Linked DNA regions of Solanum lycopersicum. The protein of the gene in region 2 binds, or shares a complex with, the protein of the main gene of each other region. Links are inferred from orthologs where the notes say so. Each region holds a gene or a part of one and is shown on either strand. Other genes may lie near its edges.

Region 1 (3,873 bases), on a different chromosome or scaffold from region 2:
TCAGTTCGCATAAAAACTTCACGTGAACCAAACTATCCACCATTAAATCACAGGAGGCTAATTAGCCCCATTTTTAATTAACTGCAAAGCTTTCCTTCTATTATCCCCCTATTAATTTTTAAGCATGAATTGTTCTGCAGGTTTGATATTGAAGGGGATGAAGAAACACAAATGAATTATACCCAGCCAGAGGATGCTCAAATCCCAAGTACTCCTGTGCAATCTCCACCTCGAGAACAAGCCCATCAACGTAAGAACGTGTTACTATCTTCTACTTTAGATAAATGAAGTTTTTTGAGATGTAAATAGTAGATGGAGTTACGATATTTCATTATTTCACTTGGTTTTCTGATAGAGACATAATGGCAATAAACCCTTCCTCTCAAATAGGAACATGAATGCAAGTCGTACTTACCTACTATGAGATCAGTTAAAATACTTTGTAGCTACCTGGCTGCTTACCATTAAACTTCCGGTTTACATATGAAGTTCCTTCAAGCACAGAACTCTTTTGGATTGAGTTGAGCTTGTAAAAGTCTTTAGATTTCCTTAGGTAATTAATTATTTCTGAAAATTGGTTGAATGGAGCGAAACATTATTGCAGCTGATGAGATCCCTGACAGACATCCAGAGGACCAAGTGAAGCAACAATCTGATGAAGTTAAAGAAGCTTTTGAGGTAGAAACTCCACAAGCAACCAAGCTAGAAAATAATGTAAAGAAAAACTGTCAGCACTAATGTTACGTCTTGACATGATATTGTAGCAGCGGCAGGATCAACAAAGGCCAAAGCCAGCTCGACGAAGAACAAGAAAGGCCACAAGTCTTGCAATTGATCATGAGCAAACTATTATTTCTGGTGACATATATCAATCCTGGCTTCAGAGTTCTTCAGATATTGCATCAAGAAAAAGGAAAAAGAGAAAGGTACTTCCATACCTCCCAATCTAGATCTTCCCCATTTCAATTTTTCCATTGTGTGCACCGTATAACCTTTGATATCAATGGCTAGTCTTTGTGTATCCCAAGAATAGCATGTGCATCTCTCTCTGGAAGGTAACCTTAACTAAACTAACATGCAGCATCATTTATTAGTAACCTTAAGTTTCTATTCTGTGCAGACTTTGAGTGTCTTACCTTCTATGAAGATAGCCAGAATGATGGAAATGCCTCCTATTGCACTACTAGAAGGATTGTTCACAAATGGAAATAAGGAAGTTCACTATCCAGCACCACTCCTAAAATTATGGATGAGGAATACCCAACCTCCGCATGATTCACCTTCCGGTCTGGTTTTTCATCCATGATATTAGACTCTTAGTTGCCAAAACTATAAACAGGTGGTAATTACATTTGACTTGCAGGAAAAACCTCTCCACCCTTTCCTCCTGAACCATCCTATACATCTCCAGGTGAAAGGATGGGTAATTTGGAACCGCCTTTCGAATATTTCCAAGGCGGTGTAGGCTCCCCAGCAGTAGGAATCTCTATAGAAAAACAAAGGGCAAATCTCAACAATAACAAGATTCCACCTGAAATTCTCATGGAGGACCTCAGAACCAATCTTACAAATATGGGACTGCATCCAACAGAGACTAATGGAGTGAAAGAGACTGATCACATGGCCACACCTGGCTCTGGTATATCGATTTTTTTATGAATTTCCCAATCTCCATGATTTGTTCGGCAATCTGATATGGTGGTATAACTAACATTTTTGTGAATCTATAGGTGATGAGCCTAGATCCATTCCAAGCTCAGGATCTGGTCATGGTTTACTATCACAGAATTCTGTAACCGATTCAAGTCGGTTAGTACTACTAGTAGATATATGTTGAGGGATTTGTCTAAAGATGAACCACTTGAATCATACAGACAATGACAGAAGGAAATAATGAATATCATGGATTTCAGCACCATAGGGAACTTTAAAACTTTGCTTCTTTTTAAAATTATGAAGGTCTCACCATATAGCAGCATCTGGTTACATTGATCAAAATTGTTAACTCTTCAGGTCCAACAAGAAAAGACCCCATTCTTCATTGAAGCACAGTGGCAATGGTCTTCAACCAGTAGCAGAAGAGAACCCATGGCACGACCCCACTCTAAATTTCAAGTTGACTAGATTATCTGAACTATCTGAAAATGGTTTTACACAAGACAACGGTTCGTGAATAGTCAGTAACCTTCCCATTTTAGTTCTGGTCATTTTCTTTAATGTGGTTTAGTTTGTTATGAACCTCCCTTCACTATTTTGGCAGAGATATTGATGGAAACCGGACCAACACAAACCCAACATCCATTCATTACTCAACCTCTTGACATGATGACTGACTCTATCAGGATGTAAATCCTTTTCCATTTGTTCCTAAAACTTCTCCAGCTTCACTGTATATCATCTGATTAATTGATTTTTCACCTGATAAACTGATGTCTACAGACAGCTAAAGAGTCATTTTGACACTCCCGGATCGGCAGAAGCAGAATGTTTGAATGAACTAACTCTTGGAATGACAAAGAAACAAGCAGCATGTCTTTTTTATCAGACTTGTGGTATGCAAACTTCTTTCATATCTTTTCCTCTTGCATTGCAGCTCAGAGAAACTTCATAGTTTCCAGCTTCTCATTAGAGAGAATTAATGTTTGCTCCATTCTACGTGCAGTTCTGGCCACTCGAGACTTTGTTAAAGTCGAACAGGAGCTTCCATATGGAAACATCCTCATTTCCAGAGGTGCAAAGATGTAACAACGGATAAATCTAGTAGATGCTAAATCCTCACAAGTCTTATAGATTCATCTATTGTTATAGCTGATACAAATTTATTTTTCGGTTAAGGTATTGGAGAATTGAGGCACAGATTTATAGCTCAAATTTTCAGGAGAAAGTATTTTTATTGTTAACCTATCTAGTGTATAATCGTAGAAGCATAGTTATCTCCAAGAGAATATAGATAGAAGTATATGATTGGTCATTCTGAAACTAGCTAATTGTACTAGCATTTGGTGACAGCTAAAAACTATGGGCTTCCTTTGTTTGATCTTTATAAAAACGGGTCAGGTAACTTAAAGTTTCTGTACGAATTGACCTATTTCTTATTGATCTCTATTTTGTGAAATAAATTTAACTTCTATTTCTTGCCTGGAATCAATTTTATAATAATTAAATTTTCTTACATCAATCACATAGTATATAATTCATTCAATACAAGTTCTAAAAAAAATTGGACAAGTTAGGTCTTTTGTGTAATATTAGAATACAAAATTCTGTCTTGCTATTTCCATTTTTCTTTTTTAATATTAAGGATATTTTTCTTACCAAAAATTAAAAAACCACCCAAAAATAGGCATTCGTGCCAATGACCCACGCCACTTCCGCCCGGTCCAAAATCAAATGCCCTACATTATCTTATCTTTGAATATCTAGAGTCTAGTCTCCTTCTCGCATTCGCAAGAAAATTACTGCCGTAGAAGTTAAAGGCTCTCATTGTTTCCGACGGCGACATGGCAATGACGATGACCACTGCAATGGCATCGCCGTCGCGGCGGCTGCTTATCAACTCTCGACATAGCACCATCTGCACTATCCCCAAGAATGTGGCAATTTACCCAGCAGCAGCAGTTACAAATCAGGGGTTATTGAAGCACTGTATATCCTCGCAAAGATGCCTAAGATCTCTGGTAAAACCAGTATCGGCTGCTAGTTCAGGTTTTGAGGCAGATTTGGGTGACGATGAATCTCTGATACGCGTTAAAAATGCAAAGATAGCTGTTGAGTCCGAAGACGATGAGAAGATACAAGTGAGAGTAGATGTGAGCGAAGAGGACACAAAAACGGTTTTCGAAAAAGTATTGACAAATTTAGCAAAATCAGCGC
Region 2 (4,149 bases):
TATAGGAAACTTTTTTTCCTTCCTACTAAACACAACTATATTACTACTACTATACTATGAAGTTTGAACTTAGAAGAGATTCCTTTAGATCTAAAAAGAGTACCAAGTGTTTGACATTTAATTTAATGTTATTGTCTACTAACAAGAATGTGTCATCAGTTAATGGGAGCAATGTACAAAGTTTGTTATGGCAAAGGAGAAGAAAGGGAGAAAGGTTGTGATGAAACTTTTGAGGTCTTAAAATATCTCGACAATGAGCTTCAAAACAAGAAGTTCTTTGGAGGAGACAGCATTGGATTCGTCGACATCGTTGCCAGTTACATAGCTCTCTGGTTTGGAGCAATTCAAGAAGCAATAGGGATGGAACTGTTGACTGAACAAAAGTTTCCCAAGTTAAGCAAATGGATTGATGAGTTCTTGTGCTGTAGAATTGTTAAGGAAAATCTCCCTAATAGAGAAGTATTAGTGCCTTTATACAAAGCTCAATTTGCAGCAGCAACTCAAAAGGCATCCAGCTGAAATTTTTATGTCTTTAGAAATAAAGTATGTTGAACATTTAGTTATTACTTATACAAAAAGAGAGCTTGAGCAGCTCAAATGCACAATAAGCAGGATAATCTTTGTACAATGATAAATATTTTGCGATTATTATATTCATCACGGATGTCACTTCCACCTTGTTCTGTATAACTTAAATCACTTAGTAATGCATAATAGTTTAGACAAAATGCCTGCCAGGATTATACATCTTCATGACCGCTGCATCTCTGTACAAATGTTTTAACTGCAATCACATTGAGATTTGTTAGGAAAATAACCATACAAATATTTGTGCTAAAAACATCAAATAGAAGAGCTTATTCAAAGTACAATCCAAAAAAAAATTAACTTCTGCATTGTTACACAGTATTTAACAGCATTTTACAGAAGGAAAATCACACCCTGATGCGTCAACAAAGCAATATTCTATAATATATGTATGTGTGTGCATGCACAGGGCTGCTGCTTTAGAGTCTTGATCATCGGATATCATTGAGATATAAATAAGAAAAAGGTGTTATCAAACAATTTCCTGCAACTCTTCCCACTATGAAATGAGTAAAAGAATCAAGATACAAGTCTTCATCTATATGAAAAGCATCGTTTTTTTTTCCTTTCGGTTGCATTTATAACATATTAACTGAAGCTTTGGGATAAATCTACCTCTTAAACTTTTCTGCATTGACAGGTCAAAACTAAGCTAATAAGACGACTATGTCTTTAATTTATTAAGGGTGCAGTCAAAACTAGGACAAATTATACCTTTATATATAGTTCTACACAATGGTCTCAGCTTGAAAATTTCTCCGTCAGTTTGGAAGTCACTTTCAGAGTTATATCACCATAAGGTTCATGTTGATTTGCACGTACAAGTCCACAATTCTCCAACACCTGTATTCAATTTCCAGAAGGATGACGGTAAGGATCTTATGATATATATACCAAATATGATTGGACTAAGCAATAAGCATACCATAGACAACTAACAGAGAAACTTATATATACACCTTTCTTGACTCAATTCAAACATCCACGAAAAGTTCAATTTGAAAAAAATGACTTGTGTCCCCAAGTAAGAGCAATTAATCATGAAAATATTGTAGAGGACTTACCAGAGTCTCATAAAACATCCGGGCGCATATTCTTTTCTTTTTGCCTTCTAAAATTGCATTTAAGCTGATATCTCCTGTCTCTTCTGAGATGAGGGTTACTGGTGACTGCCCCTTCAAATATTGAGCCACAGCTCTGCAATCATAGAGTTAAAAGACTATCCTGAAAGTAAATATATATGAGAAGAATGTTCAAGGAATGTTACCTTGTCCTAGCAGATAATGTGTCAAACTCTGGCGTTCCCCTTTGCTTACTTGATAAAGGAGTTCCTCGAAGTCCTGGTTTTAGCATATGGACATACAAGCTTCAGGCATATATTACATCATTAATAACAAAAACAGAAATGCAATGCTGCAGACATTAGTAGATAAAATTGACCAACATTATCCAAATCAATTCAAACCCTCAAACTAAAAGGAAAAAAAGAAGAAGAGGTTCTTAGCGTACCAATAGGAGTGTCGTCATCTTGTTCTAGAAAACTTAGATCCTGCAATGGCATTTAGTGATTTATCAGATGCAAAGAAAGGAAGAACTAGTTGAATAGTCATATAGGATGACAAGTTGACCATAGCAGTGCACTAGGTAATAAAGCATTGAATGAGAATAACCACAAGAATGTTAAAATATAAGCCATTTACAAATCTCAGTCTAAAATTTATTAAAGATGTGTTGAAAGGGTTAATGAGACTACTACGGATGATACAAAGCTGCTGAAAAAGTTATCTAGATGAATATCAAAGTAGATTCACAATTTAATAGAAAGTGACCATGATCGAACGTACCCCAGCAGAATTATCAAACTCAGGAATATCAGATAAGACAGTATCCTCCACACCTAGTCCTTCTCCAAACCATGTTGAAGGGGTCTCCATATGAGAACCAACATGCCCAGTAGATGCTGCTGGGTCGGGCGTGGGCTGCACCCCACTATCTATGGTTCTTCCTATCTGACTAGATTCTGTCCCTAAAGTTGTAGTAGCAGGACTGAAGTCATCTCTTCTGCTTGTGGAAGGCATGGACATCAGTGGAGAAGAAATGAGCCTACTTGGGGAAGGCATAGACATCTGTGGAGAGGAAATAGGCCTATTTGGTGAAGGCAAAATCTCAGACAGCAAACTAGTGCTTGCAAGGTCTTGGTTATCACGTAATCTTTCAATTTCCACCGGAAGATCATTCCCAGATGGAGGGGCTTCCTGTGGGGAAGCCATCTGGACTTTTGCGGAAATGAAGTCTTTTTTGTAGATATTGCAAAGATCATCGCATAATCCTACAGATTAACAGAAGTTGAATTTTTAGGTGAAGAACATTAGACTCATTAGATAATGGCTGTGAGACACCCACCAGTAATTAAAGGCTCAAAGAAAATTCCATCTTTTCTTAGTCTCTGGTTTTGTTTCCAGATGTCCAAAGAAAAACAAGGAACCTTCTTCTTTTCGCGTGATTTTATACCGATGCCCTTTAGTCTCCTTTTCATCTCACTGTAGAGTTGAACATGATACATTGTCAAAATACCAATGGTTGAAGAAAATATATAGTTAATGATGATAAAATATTAACATACTTATTTGGCAATACTATGTCCTTATCATAGATGAGTAGCTTTCGCTTTCTTCTTATTTTTGGCACCTCGAGAGGAGGTGTTGAAAGAAGTGCTAAATCAGGTGACTGATGCCCTGAATATCCAAGAAAAGAAGAAGTTTCATGTTAGAATATTAACATGGCAAATATGTAATTTCAGTTTAATAATAAGAACCTGCATGCAAGCACCCACCAAATGATATCTGTGGATCAGCAAATTCATGAGCATCCGCTGAAGTAGTTGATGGTGGTTCTTGTCGTTGTTGAGATGGGATTGAATGTCCTCCGGGGGCCAATATCTCTTTCACAACTGGACTTGCAGTTTCCTTGTCTCTCATGATCTGTTCCTCCAGAACTCTATCTGGTTCCATCACATCATTCCCTCGGTCAGACCACAAGGGAACATTCTCAAAACTGTGATCATGGACAGCGTCACGCATGAGTTCAATATCTGGAAAATCTTGAGGGATGTCATCACCAACAGTTCTTTTGTTTAGTCCTTCCTGATTCTTAGGGGAAGAATGTTGGGGTTGAGCAGCAGTTTCATCTAAATTTGAAGGATCAGAACTGCATCATCAAAGAAATGTCTATTACAAACATGGCAATAAACAGAAACAATCCACATCTATAGTCAATAAGATGCATACTCTATCTCCATAGGCATGGAACCTAATCCAGAAACTTCACCTGATTTTGACAAACTCTTCACTATGTCCTGTAAAAACAAACTCTTTGTCAAACTAGTGTTGCAACTTAAGTGAATAAATCGAAACTTCGCTGCTAATTATGAAGCAAAAGATTTACCCACCTCATCAATGAAAATAGCAACATACTGATCTTCATGCGATACAACTTGATCTATACATGGAAAATTTCAGAAATGAAAGTTCAATTGAAAATGAAACAGAAAAAGATACAAAA

Evidence for each region.
Region 1: sister chromatid cohesion 1 protein 3 (region 2) and sister chromatid cohesion 1 protein 1 share a complex: the UniProt entries of both Arabidopsis thaliana proteins name them as parts of the cohesin complex. The link is inferred for Solanum lycopersicum from reciprocal best matches to the Arabidopsis thaliana genes SYN3 and SYN1.

What each region holds. Positions count from the first base shown.
Region 1 is NC_090805.1:48,879,678-48,883,550, forward strand, and holds the end of sister chromatid cohesion 1 protein 1, read left to right. Parts: intron 1-140; coding exon 141-250; intron 251-604; coding exon 605-678; intron 679-764; coding exon 765-926; intron 927-1,120; coding exon 1,121-1,286; intron 1,287-1,363; coding exon 1,364-1,639; intron 1,640-1,730; coding exon 1,731-1,809; intron 1,810-2,013; coding exon 2,014-2,165; exon of another isoform or gene 2,166-2,176; intron 2,177-2,260; coding exon 2,261-2,345; intron 2,346-2,439; coding exon 2,440-2,552; intron 2,553-2,662; coding exon 2,663-2,745; 3' UTR 2,746-3,099; downstream 3,100-3,873. Other genes in the region: uncharacterized protein, read left to right, coding at 3,501-3,873. UniProt on the Arabidopsis thaliana protein: Involved in chromosome condensation, pairing and segregation during meiosis. Responsible for cohesion between replicated sister chromatids.
Region 2 is NC_090800.1:77,424,559-77,428,707, forward strand, and holds the end of sister chromatid cohesion 1 protein 3, read right to left. Parts: intron 4,087-4,149; coding exon 4,037-4,086; intron 3,944-4,036; coding exon 3,876-3,943; intron 3,796-3,875; coding exon 3,422-3,795; intron 3,324-3,421; coding exon 3,212-3,323; intron 3,129-3,211; coding exon 2,992-3,128; intron 2,918-2,991; coding exon 2,433-2,917; intron 2,138-2,432; coding exon 2,098-2,137; intron 1,929-2,097; coding exon 1,856-1,928; intron 1,786-1,855; coding exon 1,653-1,785; intron 1,432-1,652; coding exon 1,330-1,431; 3' UTR 1,303-1,329; intron 785-1,302; 3' UTR 520-784; downstream 1-519. UniProt on the Arabidopsis thaliana protein: May be involved in sister chromatid cohesion during mitosis.